Oryzias latipes: one gene and its partners. The protein of the gene in region 4 interacts with the protein of the main gene of each other region in a biochemical or structural test. Links are inferred from orthologs where the notes say so. Each region holds a gene or a part of one and is shown on either strand. Other genes may lie near its edges.

What was found.
Region 1: the proteins of shc1 (region 4) and tyrosine-protein phosphatase non-receptor type 12 form a complex in vitro, tested with the Homo sapiens proteins (2 studies listed by BioGRID). The link is inferred for Oryzias latipes from reciprocal best matches to the Homo sapiens genes SHC1 and PTPN12.
Region 2: the proteins of shc1 (region 4) and gab1 form a complex in vitro, tested with the Homo sapiens proteins (2 studies listed by BioGRID and IntAct, with this or other methods). The link is inferred for Oryzias latipes from reciprocal best matches to the Homo sapiens genes SHC1 and GAB1.
Region 3: the proteins of shc1 (region 4) and csf3r form a complex in vitro, tested with the Homo sapiens proteins (2 studies listed by BioGRID, with this or other methods). The link is inferred for Oryzias latipes from reciprocal best matches to the Homo sapiens genes SHC1 and CSF3R.

The regions. Positions count from the first base shown.
Region 1 is NC_019881.2:13,867,063-13,871,623, reverse strand, and holds part of tyrosine-protein phosphatase non-receptor type 12, read right to left. Parts: intron 3,365-4,561; coding exon 3,184-3,364; intron 1,438-3,183; coding exon 492-1,437; intron 1-491. UniProt on the Homo sapiens protein: Dephosphorylates a range of proteins, and thereby regulates cellular signaling cascades. Dephosphorylates cellular tyrosine kinases, such as ERBB2 and PTK2B/PYK2, and thereby regulates signaling via ERBB2 and PTK2B/PYK2.
Region 2 is NC_019859.2:18,117,793-18,122,353, forward strand, and holds part of gab1 (GRB2-associated-binding protein 1), read right to left. Parts: intron 3,637-4,561; coding exon 3,508-3,636; intron 2,104-3,507; coding exon 1,938-2,103; intron 1-1,937. UniProt on the Homo sapiens protein: Adapter protein that plays a role in intracellular signaling cascades triggered by activated receptor-type kinases. Plays a role in FGFR1 signaling. Probably involved in signaling by the epidermal growth factor receptor (EGFR) and the insulin receptor (INSR).
Region 3 is NC_019874.2:23,367,527-23,372,087, reverse strand, and holds part of csf3r (granulocyte colony-stimulating factor receptor), read right to left. Parts: intron 4,181-4,561; 5' UTR 4,079-4,180; intron 3,182-4,078; 5' UTR 3,169-3,181; coding exon 3,105-3,168; intron 2,994-3,104; coding exon 2,700-2,993; intron 239-2,699; coding exon 106-238; intron 1-105. UniProt on the Homo sapiens protein: Receptor for granulocyte colony-stimulating factor (CSF3), essential for granulocytic maturation. Plays a crucial role in the proliferation, differentiation and survival of cells along the neutrophilic lineage.
Region 4 is NC_019874.2:18,333,134-18,339,049, reverse strand, and holds the start of shc1 (SHC-transforming protein 1), read left to right. Parts: upstream 1-2,188; 5' UTR 2,189-5,916. UniProt on the Homo sapiens protein: Signaling adapter that couples activated growth factor receptors to signaling pathways. Participates in a signaling cascade initiated by activated KIT and KITLG/SCF.

The DNA of each region.
Region 1 (4,561 bases), on a different chromosome or scaffold from region 4:
GCAGATTGTATCCACAACTTTGGACAAATCGCACCGCGATGCGCCGTTCAGCCTAACCTGAGCAGAAGTGCATTCATCAAGAGCCATGCAGGCCTAATCCTCCCCCAGCAGACATGCTCACATAACCCCACACAAACCTTTCCTTCACAAACTCACTCCCACATACAAGCTGAAAGAGCACGAGTGCTTTTGCAGATGTTTGCCCACCAGAATCTGCAGCACACCGATCAGTTAGTCAACAGTCATGCTTTCTGACAGAAAATGTTAAAATGCCTTTTTTTTCCCTTTTCCTTAAGTGCTCTGACATGAGGGTGCTGATAGCTTAAGATTTAAGGAAATAGCCCTACCATGTGCTTCTATAGCAATGATAAAACAAAGTCATCTCCGTGCCTTAACTAAAACTAAAACTTAATTGAAATAAAAAACATTTGCCCTAAAAATGACCGGCAGTAAACGTTTTAGCTTTCCCTGAAAGTGACATTTTGACATACTTGCAGTGGCTGCAGTGGGCGATGAAATGCTGTGGCCCACGATAGAGACAGGCAACGCCTTTCTGACTGGTTGAAGAAGCGACGAGGACACCACGGTGGTCACCATGGATACGCTTGTATGAAGAGCCTCCTTTTCACAGGACATCACTTCGTTCCCATCCTCCTCCGAGTTATCCGAATGTAAGGGGTTGGTGAAACTTATGGCAGTCCTAACAGGGGTGGACGAAGAAGAGGAGGAAGAGGAAGAGGAGAGGTGGGAGGAGGAGGACGAAGAGGGAGCAACTCGGTCTGAAGAGGAAGAGGAAGAAGAGGTTTTAGGGAATAGTTTCTCGGGGCTGTTGCAGGGCTCCGTCCACGACGCGTGTCCGGTTTTCACGTCCGCTCTGCTGCATTCGCGCGGCTCCACCTTATCTCCGCTCTTCACAGGGAGGTGGTTTGGCCTGGGTAAAGCGCTTCCCTCGGTGTGACTCTCCAAACATCCAAGCGCTCCTCCTTCTGTGCCCGAATCCTCCGACAGGGAGGAGCTCGACGTCAGTAGGGACTGAGTGGAGCGAGACTTGAAGGCCTGGCCTCTTTGCAGCATGCAGCCGCTGCTGCAGGAGCTGGCTCCCTGTCCGCCTGCTCCTCCGACAGAAGAAGACGTGTCAAAGCTCCGAGGTCCTTCCTGCAGCGGCACCTTTTTAATCTCAATGCTGAGCTTCCTCTCGATCCGAGGAATGCCGGGACATTCAATGACCGGGGAGAGGGGTGAGGACGGCGCCTGAGTCTGGCTTTGACCAAATTCTGGCTTTGTAGACGTGGAGGAGAACTTGTTGTTGTAGTTGTCATTGAGGTCTACATTTGAGACCTGAGTTTGTTGGTTTCGGCTTAATACATCTTTCTGCTCTGAGGGACTGGTCTGTTTGACTGGGTCAGATTTGTTCTGAAGCCCATCTTTGTCTTTATTCTGCAAAAAAAAACATTAAAAAATAATAAAAAAAACAGTTTTTGCAACCATAAAAGAACACTTGTGCTAGAGCCATGGATTGTTACTTTATGGCGATCTGATTTGATTCAAGGATCTATAATTCACAAATCCAACCATGGTTCTTACTTTTTAATCTTTCTGTCTGAATAGTTGCTATATGTACAGTAGAAACCAGAAGTTTACATACACCACATATAAACACACATATCCTTTTTTTTTCTCACCATCAGACATGAAATCAAAGTAAACATTTCCTGTTTTGGGTCAGTTACAATTAACAAAATTATTTCCATTTGCTGAATTTCAGAATTATGGCACTAGGGTTTTTTTTCAGACAAGTTTTAATTACTTTTATCAAAGTTTACATTCATTTATTAAGTATTTGGTAATATTGCCTTTAAACTGCAGTGTTTGGGTCAAATGTCTTGGATTTCTTTCCACAAGATTCGGTAGAAATTTTTGGCCCTTTCCTCCTGACAGAACTGGTGTGACTGTAGGTCGCCTTGGATGTACACGCCTTTTCAGCTCTGATCATAAATGTTTAATAGGAATAAGATCCGGGCTCTGTGATGGCCAGGCCAAAACATTGACTTTGTTATCCTTCAGCCACTTTGTAACCATTTTGGCGGTATGTTTCGGGTCGTTGTCCATAGGGAAGATCCGTTTGCGGCCCAGCTTCAACTTTCCGGCTCATGTCTTCAGATGCTGCTTCAATATTTCCACATCTATTTTGGGAAGTGCACCAGTCTATCCAGCAGCAACACAAACCCACAACATGATGCTACCACCCCCATGTTTCACACTTGGGATGGTGTTCTGAGGCCTGCAAGCTTCTCTCTTTTTCCTCCAAACATAGCGATGGTCATTGTGGCCAAACAGTCCAATTTTAGTTTCGTCAGACCACAGGACGTGTCTCCAAAAATGAAAGTCTTTATTTGCTTTTCTGTGTTTTTTTTGAGTAATGGCTTCTTCCCGGCAGAGTAGCCTGTCACCCCGTGTCTGTACAGTACTCATTTCACTGTTTATAATGAAACATTCATACCATCTTCAGCCAGAATCTTCACAACATCATTTGCCTTCGTCCTTGTGTTGTTTGGATAGTTCAACAATCTCTGACATCGCAAATAATCCTACTTGTACTTTCCGGAACAGATCATGAATATCTGAGTATTCAGATATTTGTTATAACCCCAAATTGAGCTAATCTTTGACATTTTTGACTGCTATTTTGCAAATGATCCCATAAACAGGCACAATTTGTGACGTAAAATGTAGATTATATGGTAACAAAGATTTCCAAAAATATACATCTTATTAACATAACTTTTATGTATCATTTATAACCAGGTAATTATTATTTTCTAAATTCTAACGCAAAAAGCATCTAAAGTCGTTGCTTAAACTTGAGTAAAACATTAAAACTTACTTGAAATCCCCCAGAAACCCCCAATTCTTTAAAAGAAGTGCTTGGTTTTGTGCGAGGATAATAATTAATATTAGCCTAATGCTAATTTATGATTCCATGAAGATATTTTCAGCAAAGTTTCTCTTATACCTGTTGGAGATTTGCAGCATTTGCAACCTTCATATTATTTGCACTTTATGATGCAAGAGCAGCAAAGTCTCTGCAGACCATTGAAATAAATCCTCAGATTCTGGTTTTAGTTCAACCAAAGTGTTAACATATTAAATGATAAAAGGTCGAACTTCAAAAATCCACCTCACCTGTGTGACGTTGGACTGTAGGACATGCATGACCGGTTTAGGGTGGTAGCGATCATTGTCCTGACGTACGTTGGTGACCGTGGGGAAAGCTGACGGAGGAGACGGGGTGAGGATCGGGGGGACTGGGTGAGGCTCAGGAGGCTGGAGGATCTCTTCTTTTACATCGCCCTCAACCTGGAAACTAAACAAAAAGATTGAAAAATTTGATCAGGAAACAGGAGAATTAAGCTGAAATGAGGATTTTTTTTATGAGAAAAGTTCACGCTCACGTTGAAACAGAGAGACGTTACACAACAAGACAATAGTTTCTAGTAAAGTAAATATCTCAAGTTTGCAACCAATAATCTGAGAAAGGTTGGTCCAAGTAAATAAACGAAATGGAGCTTTATCATAGAAATATGATGTATGTCTATATTTCACATTAAAACATTATATATAAAATATGATTTAAACAAACAATTGTTCCAATATTTTTAGGTTTTCCTTCACACAGACTGATGCAAAAATTGTGTTTCAATTTTACACGTTTGTTGTCACTGTAACAAAAACGCAAAAACATATTTACAGATTGGTCAGGTGAATTTATGACCCAGGTAGAAGTCCTTATGCATAAATAAACCCAAATTACTATTCTCCTCCCAAAATCTATTTTTTTAAATTATCCTATGTGCCTGCAAAGATAAAAATAGACAAAGTGTTAGCAGTGTACGCTAATTTAAAAGCAAGTCTGAGACAGGGGTTCATACAGAAATGGCTGCACACAATGGTTAGATAACAGATAAAAGCCTGTGGACAGACGAAACGGTGGGATTTCTATTTTGTTTCCTCCTATTTTTGTTTCCTAAGCTATAAAAACTCAATCTGCAAGTTTCACTTTTCCAAACCCACATCTGGCTTGTTCTCTACAGGATTCATGGTGCATTGTGTGCGTCAGTGCCAGTTAGTCTGGGTTGGGGGGTATAAACATCAACATGTTCCTGGTAGGGGGCTCCTGGAAAATGTCTATTATCACATCTTAGCTGAGCTGCAGTTGAGTTTCCACCCAACAAAAACATCCTGCTGCCTCACCAGTCGTTTCACCAGAACAGTTTTTAGAATAAAAAACATATTAATGATCCTTTTCTCTGTGAAGGCAGAGTATGTGTTTGATCATTAAACTGATAACTCCCAATGGATTCCAACATTAAGGGATTCATCTTTCCTTATAACACAAATGAAACCTTAAAGGAGTTTTGTTTTTCTTTTTTTTTTTTCTTTAAGGAAGGCTGCTAAAGATGAACAGGTGAAAGCCAAAGAAGCAACACATTGCATTAGAAAAGACTGAAGACAAAAGAGAGAAAACTAAATTATTCTCAGCACAATCAGATAACTCTTACCT
Region 2 (4,561 bases), on a different chromosome or scaffold from region 4:
AAAGCCAACCTGGTCCTGGAATCTGCTCCCTTATTATACAAAACTTTCTGATTCAGATTTTTCATTTTTTGGGGTGAAACTAAAATGTCAGAGGACCAAATGTGAGACCATGTGTTCAGTTGATAATGCTTAAATTGAAAAAGCAAAAAGACAATGACCAAACACAAGTAAAAGCACTGCAAAATGAAGGAAAATAAAGAGGGATTATGCTACAGAACAGTCAAAAGTCTTTACCATGACATGAAACACTGGCATTTGTAGATTGTTGGGATATTTGGCCTGTATGTTTTGTTGTTTTTCTTCCCACACTAGATAAATACAGTTCCTCACCAAGGTCTGTGCTTTGTAACAGGGAGAGTTACCATATTTCCAATCTTTTAAAAAAAATGTCTGCTTGAGTTGTTCTCCTAAAATGTGAACAAAGATGACTGCTTATAATCCAAGCAATCCTATTTTTTGTTGTAAAACAAAAGCAGTTTTGAGTTAATAAAAACATTTCTAGTCAATTCCGGCACTTGTGTTCGCTCCTTTTTGCTATTTAGGTTTTGTGTAAGAATCTGCAGAGAAAAAAAAGGGGGGAATGCTTTTTTTATGTGTGTGAAAGTACTAATCTATACCACCTACACCATCTCTGAGAGCTTCCATTCCTCCAGCTTTCCTAATGTTCCTTCCTCTAATATCTGCTCGGCTCTGAAGCGCTCTGCGTGTAGTGTGGCCACACATTACAGAGGAGTGGGAGCTGGGTCTCACACACAGAGAAGTGCAAACAGAAAGAGAGCCAAGGACATTCTTTTACAATAACAGCCAAAGAGGCCTATCTGAAAAAAAAAATATGTCTCAATTTTTATCCTTGAAAAGTCTGTTAGCTTGTGCGTCTTTAAAGAGCCAATATGAAAAATTCTGTTCAAGAGGAGCTCAATGTTAGTATTTTTTTCCTGAACTTGAGGCATAGCTGCTGCAAGGATGACAGAGCACCATAACCAATGAGTCACTTGACAACTTTGACAAGTGTCCTCTTCTAAAAAGAACCTGTGCAGTCCCTTATGTCAAACCTCACTTAAAAGCTGATGCATTTTACTGCTAAGGAGCAAGAGAAATTGGAACTAGAAGAAAAAAAGGGCTGAAAGACTTATAAAGTACTTGGGGCTTTGATTATGCTAATAGCAAACAGAAAATATTTACAACTTTTATAGCAGAACTTGGAAATATTCAGCAGTGGCTCATTAACTCATACATGTTAATGGACAACAACAGAACTATGATTATATTTACCAATAAAAATAAAATAGCTAAAATGTCATCCATCTGGTGGGTTCCTAGGAGAAGTGGAGCTTGACTGTGTGGAGGAGTTCAAGGATCTCATATCACTGGACATATAGGTCTCCTTAAAAAAACATGTTCAAAGCACCAGCAAACTAAAGTCGGATTTTTAAAACTTTAGATTCATTTTCACATAAAGACTTTTGTATTACGATTTTTGCCCTATACTACAGACAATTAAAAGACGAAAAATGCTTGTTACAGTGCTCTTTGTGTATGCATTTTACCAAAAACTAACAAAAGGCCTGGTGCAGGATGGTAAGAAGTATTGTCAAACAACAACTTTTGAATAAAAAACTGTTGCTGAGGAGATTTCAAGTTTAGAGCAGCGAGTTATTAATTTCCCATAAATAAATAAATCCTGAAAGCTAAATGGAAAAAAAAATGTCATGTTGCTCTTTAACTCACATTACAAATGGTTAGGGAGTCGTTTTGACTTTTAAGTTTTTTTTTGGCTGATTAATAAAATAGCTAATGTTAAAACATTGTTTCTGCTTAACAATAATCAGTTTTGTTTACTGTAGAGTATTCAACTTCCCTGAAACGAACATTGACACAACAGTAACAGGACTTGTAATTGTTAGGAGTACAATAACGACTTATGGGGCAACGCTTACCATCGTCAGTGGGGTTAAAACCACAGATGTCACAGATGTGGCGAACCCACTTGTTCATTTCTTCCTCAGTGTCAGCCACCAGGTAAAAGACACGGTCGATGGTCTTAATGTCGAAAATGAAGCTGTGCTCCAAATCCTTCTTGCTAAACGTCAGCCCAGCATCAACCTAGGGTGAGACGTCAACAGAGTTTGTCTTACAACATAGTGGTTCAGTATCAAGGTGACTGAGTTTGATCTGTGTTAATAACAAAAAATACAGTTTGGTGAACAAGTCTTGGTTTTTTTGCCTGTTCGTTTAAGAGACTTAATTGTTTTTATGCTTTCAGTGGCCTTGCCCTGAACTCTGAGCTCTTACAGGCACACACCTCTCTCCCAGTCCCTTGGGTCAGCTAATCAGCTGCTCCTGGACATAGCAAAGGGCAACACTTACACTTCCTCCTTAAGCCTAATTCAGAAAGAAAAAAAAACAGAACTGCCCCCAGACTGTTTTTTAACACGTGCTAAAATAATGATTTTATCATTTTCATTTACTGTTTCAAAATTGTTTTTAAATTGTATGCAAGTGGTTTTACTTGAGTTTTTTAATTTTTTTGGGGGTTGTTTACTTTACCATGATGTTTTGTAGAGCTTCCCAAGTAACCATGAACCATTTTAACTACCATCACTTGTCAGAGATTCTCACTGGTTTTTGTGCATTTTAGGCATTGTGATATAACATCTTCCAGAAACTTTCTGACTCAGACTCTATTCTTGTTTTTCTAGGAGTCCTTTTCATTATGTTCAGGTACTAAGTCACTGCTAAGAAATGGTATTTAAAAAAAGTGGAGTGAGAAAACATGATTAGAATTAAAAACTACCCAGTGGTTAATACATTTTGCTGTTTGTTTTTACTATTTTCTTTTTACTTGAAATATTTTAGAATGATGAACTTAGTTCTGGATGATGCAACTATTGATTTTTTTTAAAATAAATGTTTAATTATTTCGTGTGTGCCAATTCTTTTGGTCCTCAATATTACATGAAAAGGTAACTGAATGAATAGAACATATAAATAATAATCATACTGTAAACAACTTTATAATGGCTAAAAGTAAAGATTTCCCTACATTTCTTGGAAGTTTTCCTTCTGTTTTCCCCCCCTCATTCTTCATCCATAAAACATTTAGCCACACAATTAAACTTTGAATAAATTAGGCTTTACTGTTGCAATTTTAGTTTTTTGAGTCATTTCTAAGTCATAGTGATTATATTGTGTATTATTTAGCTTAGTTAATTGATACTATATCTCTGGTTAAGTCCGAATCAACCCTTCACCCCACCCCCAGTTATACAAACAGCCTTACCTACCAAGTTATACTGAAGTTCCCAAGAAGTGTTCATTTTCACAAATATAATGGCTTACATAAATGTAAAAAAATGTGGAATGAACTATAAAGCTAGACTAGCAGGCTTTAAACAAACCCTCATTTAAGAAAGAAAAGAAAAAGAACGTAGCAAGTATCTCCACTGCATCTACAGCAAAACTGTCACAACACAAATCGAGTGTTTCCCATGGAACAAGGAGTAATACCTGCTCACACAAGTTGAGATCTATTACACGAATAGGCTTCTTGGTGTGGTCATTCTTGTAATACTCCAAGACGTCTGGGTCGCCTGTTAGACGGCCACTGCGAAGAACAAACCATCGCTTCTTCCATGCCTGCAGGGTAAGCACAAAAATGAGGCCAAAGGTTATACGCATGTTCTCACACTGACTGTTTCATTCCCAGATGACCACAAGCTGACCAAAAGCTTTATTTATGTCATTTTCACTCCGTGTATCCCGGGAGGGCTTTTGTTTCTGTGTGCACTTAAATTTTAGCAGCGCTACCCTTTCTATGGAGTGGCGAGAGCCAGAGGACAGAAGCCTGAAGCAGAAATATATATCTGGGATTTTCAGAACAAAAGCTTTGTTCAAAAGATTTCAGCGACCTAATATATAAAGAAAAGCCGGCCATCAAGTGATTTATTTTGTTTTTCATTCTACTTTATAGACTGAAGAGAAGCTAATAGAAAAAGCTAACTGAAAAAAAAGGCAACAAAAAAAAAGAAAAAAAGCTGCGATTTTGAGCTTCACATACAGAATTCAGGGAGTATTTTCAACAGAAAACCTCAGAATACATCAGCGGTGTTCTATAAAATGAGAATAAAAAAAACTTCTGTTTTTATTTCAACAAAACAAAAAGGTGCAACAATTACCAGTAAAAGCAGACAGTTGAAACAGAGTGCATTAAATTTGAAATTGAATCATTGCACTGCTAAATCATTTGCAGTGCCACAAAGCTGATAAATGAACTAAAACAAGATTCTTCAAGAACTTGTGAAAACTGCAACAGTAAAGGTAAGCAAAAGTCTACAGAACCTCCACCTGGTTTTCCTAGGCTGTTTCTAAATAAAATTCGGATTTCCCCCTGTCTGCTGGGTTAGCATCTAACTGATAGGCAATAAAGCAATGGTTGAAGAAAGACAGTGGGTGTGTTAAGGGAACCTCTCTCTTCTGTATAAGACAAAGTGATCTTGGATCTTGTTACCCTGTGGGGAGCAGAAGGACCAAGATCTTAGGTTACAGAGAGGCCAGGCCCGCC
Region 3 (4,561 bases), about 5.0 Mb from region 4:
ACTATTAATTACAGTAACATTTCACGACCTTCCCAGGTTCTGTAAAAGGATCGAGATTTTTTCCTATCACAACTGTCTCGGTGTGAATTTTGTTTTTTGTCAGACCTTGTTTTACTATGGAGAGAGTAAGATGTGTGAAGATACGTCTGCAGCTCCCCAGGATCCCAGCTGCAGGTCAGAGAGATGGGTCTGGTAAGGTTTGCCTGACAACTAAGATTTTGTGGCACTTCTGGTGGATCTACGGATAAAGAGAACAAACAAAAACATAATAAATGCATGAATGGAGGATTGATGAGGATGTGAAAGTGTGATTTATTAACTTTAATTTTTACATCAGCATTTGTTTTAAAGGTGTTCACTTCAAAAGATGGGATAATAGGACATTTTCAAACTCATTCTGAAATAACCACAGATAAAGAGCGAATGATTGACTGATGATCTGGTCCAAAGACACATCTTTGGATTTAGGTGTCAATATATAAAATAACTTGTCTGCATCCCAATGTGGTGGAAAAGGAAGAGATTCCCTTAGACTACTTTCACACAAAAGCGTGTTTCTGGCTTCCACGTTCCAAAATCTTCACGCACACACATTTTTAAGACCATTATCGGGGTCTGTGTGCACAAACACGCTGCCGTTGATTGCGTGTTGAAAGTACCAGGTTTAACTTCAACTAATCAGGGACTTGGTAGTGATGGATGGATGGCACCCTTCAATTTGCAGAAGTGCTAAGTATTTGAAATGGATCATGGAGGAGAAATTGATACAGTGGTGGGGAAAGTTGTTGGTACACCTCAGTTAAAAAAAGAAGGTCCACAATGCTGACTGAAATGACTTGAAGCGCTCAAAAGTAACAATAAATTAAAATTGATTGAAAATCACATAATCAAAATCAGCCATTACTTTTGAGTTGTTTATTAACAGAATTATTTAAAAAAAAACTAATGAAATAGGGCTGGACAAAAATGATGGTACCCATAACTTAATATTTTGTTGCACAACCTTTTGTGGCAATCACTGCAATGAAACAGTTTCTGTATTTGTCAATGAGCCTTCTGCACCTGTCCACAGGTATTTTGGCCCACTCCTCATGAGCAAACTGCTCCAGCTGTCTCAGGTTTGACGGGTGTCTTCTCCAAATGGCAGGTTTCAGCTCCTTCCACAGATGTTCAATGGTATTCAGATCTGGGCTCATAGAAGGCCACTTCAGAATATTCCAACGCTTTTCTCTCAGCCATTCTTGGGTGTTTTTGGCTGTGTGTTTTGGATCGTTGTCCTGTTGGAAGACCCATGACCTGCGACTGAGACCAAGCTTTCTGACACTAGGCAGCACATTTCTATCCAGAATGCCTTGATCATCTTGAGATTTCATTTTACCTTGCACAGCTTCAAGACACCCTGTGCCAGATGCAGCAAAGCAGCCCCAAAACAGAACTGAGCCTCCTCCATGTTTAACAGTAGGGACAGTGTTCTTTTGGTTGTATGCTTCATTTTTGAGTATACGAACATAGAGCTGATGTGTCTTACCAAAAAGCTCCAGTTTTGTCTCATCTATCCAAAGGACATTTTCCCAGAAGCTTGGTGGCTTGTCAAGATGCATTTTTTGCAAATTCCAGTCTTGCTTTTTCATAATTTCCTTTCAACAGTGTTGTCCTCATTGGTCATCTTCCATGAAGTCCACTCTGGCTCAAACAACGACGAATGGTGTGATCTGACACTGATGTACCTTGATCTAGGAGTTCACCTGTAACCCTTGTGCTATCCTAGGCACTTTAACATTGGGAGTTGGGTCATCTAGACCCACTAGACAATGCTCTGAACCTTTTTTCTTCAGTGCTTTGTGATCTTCACTGGTGTCCATGGATTACATGAAATCTTTCCACCTTTATCCACCTTTGTTATGGTAGGAAGAACACGTCAAAGTCAGGGTGGGGTCATCTAAGATAGCACAAGGTTTAATGTCTTTGGAGGTTATCCTGGCCTCTTTGGATACAGTTCGAACTATCGGTCTCCTCAATTTGTCATCAATTTTCCTCTTCTGGCCACGTCCAGGGAGGTTGGCTACTGTCCCGTGGATCTCAAACTTCTGAATAACATGTGCCACTGTCGTCACAGGAACTTCAAGCTGCTTAGAGATGGTTTTCTAGCCTTTACCTTTACGATGTTTGTCTATAATTTTGTTTCTAATGTCCTGGGACAATTCTCTCCTTCACTTTCTGTTGTCCATGTTCAGTGTGGTAAACACCTTTTTACCAAACAGCAACATGACTATTTGTCTCCTTTTAAATAGGCAGACTGAATGATTATGGGTTTGAAAACAGCTGTGATGTGAATAGCTGTGAATAGTTCTCAGTCTTTTATGGAGGAACCATCATTTTTGTCCAGCCCTGTTTCATTAGTTTGTTTTTTAAAATAATTCTGTTAATCAAAAACACAAAAGTGATGGCTGATTTTGATATTTTTATTTTCAATAAATTTTAATTTATTCTCACTTTTGAACGTTTCAAGTCATTTCAGTGAGCATTGTGGACTTTCTTTCTTTAACTGAGGGGTACCAACAATTTTGTCCACCACTGTATCTGTATATTTTAAGTGTGCAGATATTTTACCACTACTGTTACACACTAAAGGGTTGCATTTGCTGGAAAAACACATAAAAACATCTGATTGAACAAATGAAAAGAGGATTCTTTCTCACATCCAGCATGGATCTGCACTCCTCCCACAATCTGGTCAAAGTTTTTGATGTAGCACGTGAGAACGGCCTTCGTGTGATTAAAGCTTGAAATGGCAACTGTGGACTTCGTCTCATTCTTGTTGAACTCAGTACTGCCAGGAATAACTTCACTGTCAAGAAGCCATTCAAGTTGAACAGCCTGTCCCAAGAAAAGAGGGCAACCCTTGTCGACGACACAGGTGGCATTGACTGGTGACCCTAGGGGTACCACAGGGCTTGACGACTGGACATCTGCACAGCGATTCAAGTTGTCACCTTAAAACAGAAAGCTGCATTAAATGTGCACTCCTTCATGGGTTCAAACTTCTAAAAGCTAGCGTTTTTCCTAGAGTTAAGAATATATATCTTTCTGAGAGGAACACTTACCATTCCAAGCTCCGTTTACCAGCGCCACCAGCATGGCAATCAGTAGCATCCATGTAACTATCATTGTGGCAAATCTACTAAAAGACCACACAGATATTTAACAGACTATCAATATACATCAAATTATAAAGCATTTTTAGTCCTTTGATAATCTCGCGATGCTGCTAAAACTTCTGTGATAATCTGCCAAATAAAAACCTGTGATGTTTACTAGGGCATAGTTTCTGCAGAGCGGCAGTAGTTCATTAGAAATTTGCCTCTGAGTTGTGGTTGGACTGTTGGTGCAGAACAACCCCAACCTCCCTTACCGTCACCCATAACTAAGCTATCTAATTACACACTCTCCCACTGTCCTACAGTCCCTCACACCCCTAACCTAACATTATCGGGGAAACAAAAACGGAGGGCAATATTGAAGCTAACCTGCCGTACAGTTTTGAGCCAGATGCAAACTCGGACAAAGACAACAAAAACGTACATGGATCTGTCTGCAAGTGGATCAGAATGGAGCTGAACAGGGGGCTTCAGGCTCGCCCAGTGTATTTTCTCTATAAACACTTTTCTAATGGTATTTTTTCATCTGCTCCTGATTTACAAGGATGTAAACAAAAAATAAATTTAGTTATGCAATTTAAAGCTCAATTTTCTTTACAGATGTAACTCCATCATCAGAAAAATGGCACAAGAACAGCTTAAATATACCAAAAACTCAATTTTCGGAACTGGATCTTTATGACATACATTTACAAAAGATGCTCTTATTTTTACCATTATGTTGTTGAAACAATGTGACTCATAGTGTAAAGCTGTTAAAAGCTACGGCAATTCAAATATAAATGACCTGTATTGGGAACCATTATTCAATCATTTTAGTATCCCTTGGTAAAAATACACTTTCTGAATATGAGGTCTATTCAAGAATAACATGATTGGGGAAAGCACATTCAGTTTTGGGGGCTACTTCAAATACTCACCATTACACAAGAAGGGAATGACGAATTTCACCTAAATGCTTTGCTGGCTCATAAAGCCCTGGCAACAAGAGCCAGACATGTTTTCACAGCATTCCTGCATCTCTGCATAAACATGAAGATGAAACCACGTCAAACTATGTCGCAACGTTACCCTATGGCTAACCAATCAAAAGTAAACAAAAAAAAGAAGAAAGAAGTAATACACATAAAAAAAAAAAAAAACTGAAGTTATTTCATTTAAAAGATCAAACAATAAATTATAGACTTACTGCAAATCAAATTTAGGGTAGCAAAGAAGCAGTTCTGTTGGAGATCTGGACAAAAGTTAAACCTACAAGATTACAATTCTCTGATGTCTCAATCTGAGGTCAGATTGAGTCATGGAAACTAAATGTAACCTAACTTAGTATGTCCAAAAGAAAATGTCCAGAAAAATGGACATAAATTGAATAAATCAAAAATACTTAGTGAATCTACATTAAT
Region 4 (5,916 bases):
TGATACCCTTTTTTAACATGTTCTTGCTAATCTTAATTGTATATTTTTCATTATATTTCTTCATTGCAAGTTATTCAAGTTATAAACTGGCCAACCAGATGCCTCAGTAACAGCATGCAGTTCTCGCTGGCCCCCACCTCGAACATTTGAAATGTTAGATTCTGAGGCCTCTTTCAGTGGAAGAAAGTTAGTGTGGACTTCCAACAAGCGTCCTGATTAGTGACAGTAGTTGCCATAGAAATGGAGACTGGGACCGACTTGGACCAATCACTGCCGAAAAATGGCGACTGAATTGGCTTCATTTGGTTGCCGTAAACCGTTTTCTGTGGGTTACGTCACACTCACTCAGTCCAGTTCTCTTGTACAGTTAATGGGTAAATTATCGAACTGCCATAGAACTCCCAGTTTCTGATGGTGAACATACTTTTAAGAAAACTAATATTTGTCTGCATTTTGGGACTAAAATAAACTTTAACGCCTAAATTTGTATCAAAAAAGGACAAAAAAAGAACTTTGCTTCTATCTCATCACATGCATTAGTTACTGTGCTAAAATAATTATTAGATTTGAAAAACATCTTCGACAAATAATTCTAGAATTCATTAATTTTAAATGAAATGATCCTGGATCATTAGTTAAACTAGTCAGAGATTTTCTGCAAATGTTAAAAGTATTCAGAGGTGATTTTTTTTTTTTGTTTATCTAAAAGGTTTTTCTAAACAACATAAGAAATATAAAACAGGATAATTTTATACTAACTTTGAGGCACAATTCTGTTTCTAAAATAAATTTTGAAAAAGAAAAAACTTGTTGTGAAAGACCTTTTTACACATATTCCCTACTGCAGCAGTGTAACAGATAAAAGTAAAGCTTGTTCTTGAGTTACCTTATTTAAGTAAAACTAGAGTCTGAAGTCAGCATGTAGTCATGCATGAGTAATTACTCTGCCATGTATATGCACAAGGAAATTTATTGCAGTTTTCCTCAGACTGTACTCGGACGTCAGTTTATTAGTCTTACCCCAAAAAAAGCACATGCAGTTTACAGCAGTCCAGCAATAAATCCTGCCTTCACCCTTGCAGCTTTAATAGGTCTTTTGATAAAGTTGCTTTAATGAGCCACGAATTGAACTTTACGGTTAAGTTTTTTTCAGGGCTGCAGGTTTGGACCTTTTGGGACTGGGTTGCATAATGTTCAGAAAAATGAAAATCATATCCTTCAAGAGAGGAGATGCTTCAATTATTTACGCAGTTATTATGCAAGACTGGATTCATTATAACTGTGTCTACCTTATAAAAAGTTGCAATAGTCTCTTCTCTAGTCCTTTTCTGTAAATCTCAAAACGGGTACACAAATTTTGGGGGAATTTTGAAGGTATTGTGTGTCAACTCTAAGCCACTGTGGTTCAGGCTGGTGGAGGGTGCTGTTTTTCACTGTTAATCATTAGTAGTAAATACTGCAAGCACGGTGATGGAAGGGGGCACTTGGCAGGGGTGTGGTGCTTAAATTTAAGCTAGAAGCACTTTTTTTTGTTGTTTTGGTGTGAATTGAGGACTTATTGCTGTTCCCCTCTGCTTAGTTCTTGCAGCACTCTATGCCTGGTTTCCTCTCTTTTCTGCAACACTGACTTCTCATCAGATCCGCTTGACTGTCACAGGCAATTTCTGGTCTCTCTGCTTTCTATATTTTAGTGTCCTAGTCATGTGAGTGTTTCTCATATTCATTGTGCAGATGTAACTCATGCTTTTTTTTTTTTTTTAAGTTTATCTGGCTCCATCAAGGTTATACAGAGTGACCTCCTGTCACACAGAATTGCTGGCTAAAGGGCTGTGGGGTTTGAAGGAGGGAAGGGAGGGGGGTCTCTTTGTCCCAGTCTTTGAAATCTGTTTCTCAAGTTACCAAACACGAAGGCAGGACTCTTGAATGGCCAACATAAACAGCCCAGTTTTTCCACGCATGCACTGCTGTGCACGTGGAGACACACACTCACCCTCTTCCTTCCTTCCCCATCTCCCCCCCTTGAGCATTAGAGTGCATTAATGTGCATGAGGGCAGTATGTAGCTGTGCATGCATATGTGCACTTCAAAATGACTCTGGCTGCAGAGAAGGGGGGGGGCAGGAAGGAAGTAGAATGGAAAAGAAGAAGGTGGAGGGGAGGGGGGCATGCAGCACTGCACGGTAGAGTAAGAGAGAACGAGAAAATGGGAGGCAGCATCACCCACCCAGACAGGAGGAGGGGAGGGTAGACAGCATGCTCGTCCCCTCAAACAGACAGAGGTGGAAGGAAAGCGGGCATGAGAGGCAGACACGAGGGGAGAAGAGAAGTACAATGAAGGAGTGCTATTGTCCATCCTGACAGCACTGCCATTTCACCATCCGCTGAGAGACGGGAAGGGTGACAAAGGAGGGGGACGAAAGAGGAGGCAGCCAAACGGAGGAGAGAGGATAGATGGAGAGGAGCGGCAGGAGCCGGCAGTGACTTTGTGAATTAACCGAGCGGAAGAGCGGATCAGAGAGGAAGCGCGATTTTTCTGGGAGTGGATGAGGAGAAAGCCAGAGAAAGAGGAAGGAGAGGACGAAGGATCCGACTTTCTGTGGCTGTTCAAACATCACTGGGGCTCTTCTTATTGGAACATGAAAACCAGCTTTTCATGAATGGTTTATTATTAATAATAATAATAAAAAACAACTATAGAAGCTTTGATATTTAGTGAGAAAAATGAAGAACACAGAAGCAAATGTGTTGCTCACTTGATACAAAACATTTTTTAAAGGACTTTTTGTAAATATAGACTCTCTTTTCGACTTCTAATTTTTATATTTTCTATAATTGTAGATCTGCAGGATGTTATACAATCATTTCTTTTAGAAGTTTCTCAGAAGATTCAGCTTTTTATGCAAGTTTTTGTAACAGTTGTCTTTTAAATACTAAGGTGTGGTGTTCCTTGTTAATTGAAAAAGGTTTTTTTTATTATTGTTTGATATGATTTGTGATTGACTAGCTGTTAGAGTCCGTACATGCATCCAATGTGGGATGTCAACACTGATTAGGTGTGATGGGTGGCTCCAAAGCAGTCAAACTTTGATCTTAATCGTATTCTTCTTCTAAAAGCCTGTGATTTTTTTTGTTTGTTTGTTTTATCCTGCCGTTCTGTGGAAAAAAATCCAAAAGGCTCATCTATTTTTCAGTTTGATTCCACAAAGCAGTTATCCCAGAAAATTCCTGCTGTTGTCGGGACTTTACGGCATACATGCTCGGCGGGCTTTTCTTTTAATGTCTGTTGCCATAGCAACGGGAAGCAGCTGCAGACAGAACTAGATGTAAAGTTCCTCTTTTCCTTTTTTTCAAAATTCATTTTAAAAACTGGTGCTGTTTCATTGCTGTTGCATAGATCATCATAGATGTAACATCTTAGAAAGAATTAGCCTGTGCTTTTGTATGATTTGTGGGTTTTGTGTTAGGGGTCATAGTTGTTAACTCTAACTTTGTCTGTGTGAAAGTTTGTTATCCAATGTTTTTTTTTCAGTTCATCTGTCCTCAATGTGCTACTATCAGGCATGACTGTGTGAATTAGATGATCACTCTGACTTCACTTGTACATATCCGTGGGTGCTGCTGTTTGACCCTGAGGCCTATGATCATCAGTCATCAGCAGTGCTGCATCTATGACAGTCTGTTCATTACAGCGCTCATCTGTTGGTGACTCAGGATTTCTCTTCATGTAGAGGGCCGTCTCCTCTGCAGTCACCTGACCTTCACTGTGTTTTGTGCACCAACATCCTAGAGCTAGGGTTGACTCGACTCTATTAGTTCTCTCAGAAGGAACAACTGGTGTTCCTAGTCTGCTGTTAACACGTGTTGGATGTGTTGCCTATGGAACGTTCTAAGCCTCTTTGGACTTAATTTTGGTTCTATTAAGTGTGTGACAGACTGTTAATTTATTCTGCATGCTTTTTATCTGAAGACTTTGTGTCTTTTCCAGCCATACTACTTTATAGCTTTCTGGAGATCATCCAGGCCTGTCTGGCAGTGGATGAGTATATCTGGATCCTCCTTGGTGCTTTTTGTCCAAGACCAGATGGATGGCTAGCTAGAACTGCTAGACAATCCCTCTGTGGTGCTAGACTGGTGTAGGCGACTGTTCCTTTTGCCATTCATCCAGCACCCACTACAATCTTGACCGTTATACTTTTGGCTTAGTTGCATTCTCAAATGTTATAATAAGCCATTCCTTTTGGTATTATTAAAAGGTTGGTGCCAGATGTGCAGCCTTGTGTAAGTTATTCATCTTTTGCAAGTCTAAAGGTCAATGTTCTGTAAATATGACTAGTGCCTCAGCAGCACTAAGGTTTAGGCAGGACAGCTTGCTGCAGGGCTAAAAGTGTACATTTGCCTCCCACTGAGGTCAAGTTGTTACAGACTGTTTCATTTGTGGGATGTTTGTTGTGAGCGACTGCTAATGTAAGAGTATTTGCCTTCTAGGTTGGTCTATGCAGAAAGATGCAGTGTTTTAAGGTGTCTGTTGGACAGAGCTGAGATCTGACTATTCCTTGCGTTGGGAAGGGAGCTGTCCTGGAATATAGCCTTTGGCTTTTTTATATCATACACTTTGTGGCAGTGTCAACATTCTTCTCTCAGGTAAACAACTATAATCTGGGCTTTTTATTGAATTGAACTACGAAACAATCAGATGACAGCAGCTGGCACTGGGTTAACAACAAAGGTCAGTTCTATTTGAGCTTCTTTCGAACCCAGATGAGTGAGTTCATCTTCAGCACTGATGAGCTCTCACTTTGCTGAAGCTGGATTATGAGATCAAACCTGACAAATCAGGTTTCATTACCATCACAACGAGCCCACCAGTAGTGTTCATCAGCCAATGACCCACATTCTCCCGTGTTACATCACCACCTTGGTGCTGCAGTGTCTGTCACTGTACCAGTCAGACAACATCTCCCAGGAGGCCTACCAAGATTCAATGGTGCTCAAGGAATAAACAGAAAAAAAAGAACAACAAAAAAAAAAAAGTGAAACTTGGTGGTCATTTTTAGGGAACACACTTAAACAAAAGCAGGCTCTTTTGTTTTTAGCCATATCAGGTACCTCTGTCAGGAACCGGCTCCGCTCTGCGAGTCCAGTCTTAAAAACAAACTTTTGTTTGGTTTTTCTTTGTTTTTCTATGGGTGTCTGTAATGACCATGTCTAGCCTCTAGCCATCCCAAAACCTTAAGTTCAAAAGGCATTCAGACGGGACTCACTTGTATTTTTTGAGTGAGGTTCTGTTAAACGGGACAGCCTGGAGAACGGGCGAGCCATCGAGGGAGGGGGAGAGGGGGCGCGAGAGATCATTTGGAAAAGAAGAGAGGAAGTGGTGGCGCAAGAGAGGGCGGAGGCGCTGGAGAGACAGAGGCTGGCAGAGTACATTGTGTGGAGGAGGAGAGAGGACTTCCAGGACAAGAAAGGAGACGGAGAGAAGGGGGGAAAGAGCACCGAAAAAGGAAAAGAGGCTTCACCAGAGGTCATCTGGAAGAGGAGAGAAGACGAAGAAGGAGACGCAGGAAGGGAGAGGGCCAAAGCCATTCAGAGAGGACATGAAATCATTTGGAGGAAGAGGGAGAGAGAGTAAAACAGGACCCGATGACACATTTGAGGGTGTCATGTTCATGAAAAGTAGCTGCTGAAGAAGCTGTTGCTACTGCTGACACAAAACTCTGACGCTAGTTGAGAGCAGGAACCCTCCTCTCTTCTCCGGCAGGTACCTGCTGTATTATTGACCAGTTAAAGTTTTGGATGATGTCTGCACAGCCCTTCTTCTAATCCCTGTTTTGGCTCCTAATGGGATTTTTAAGCATTTTTTATGGGCCTCTGTCAAGCAGGATACGACTGCCAAGCGGAGCTGCATTACACATGTGCA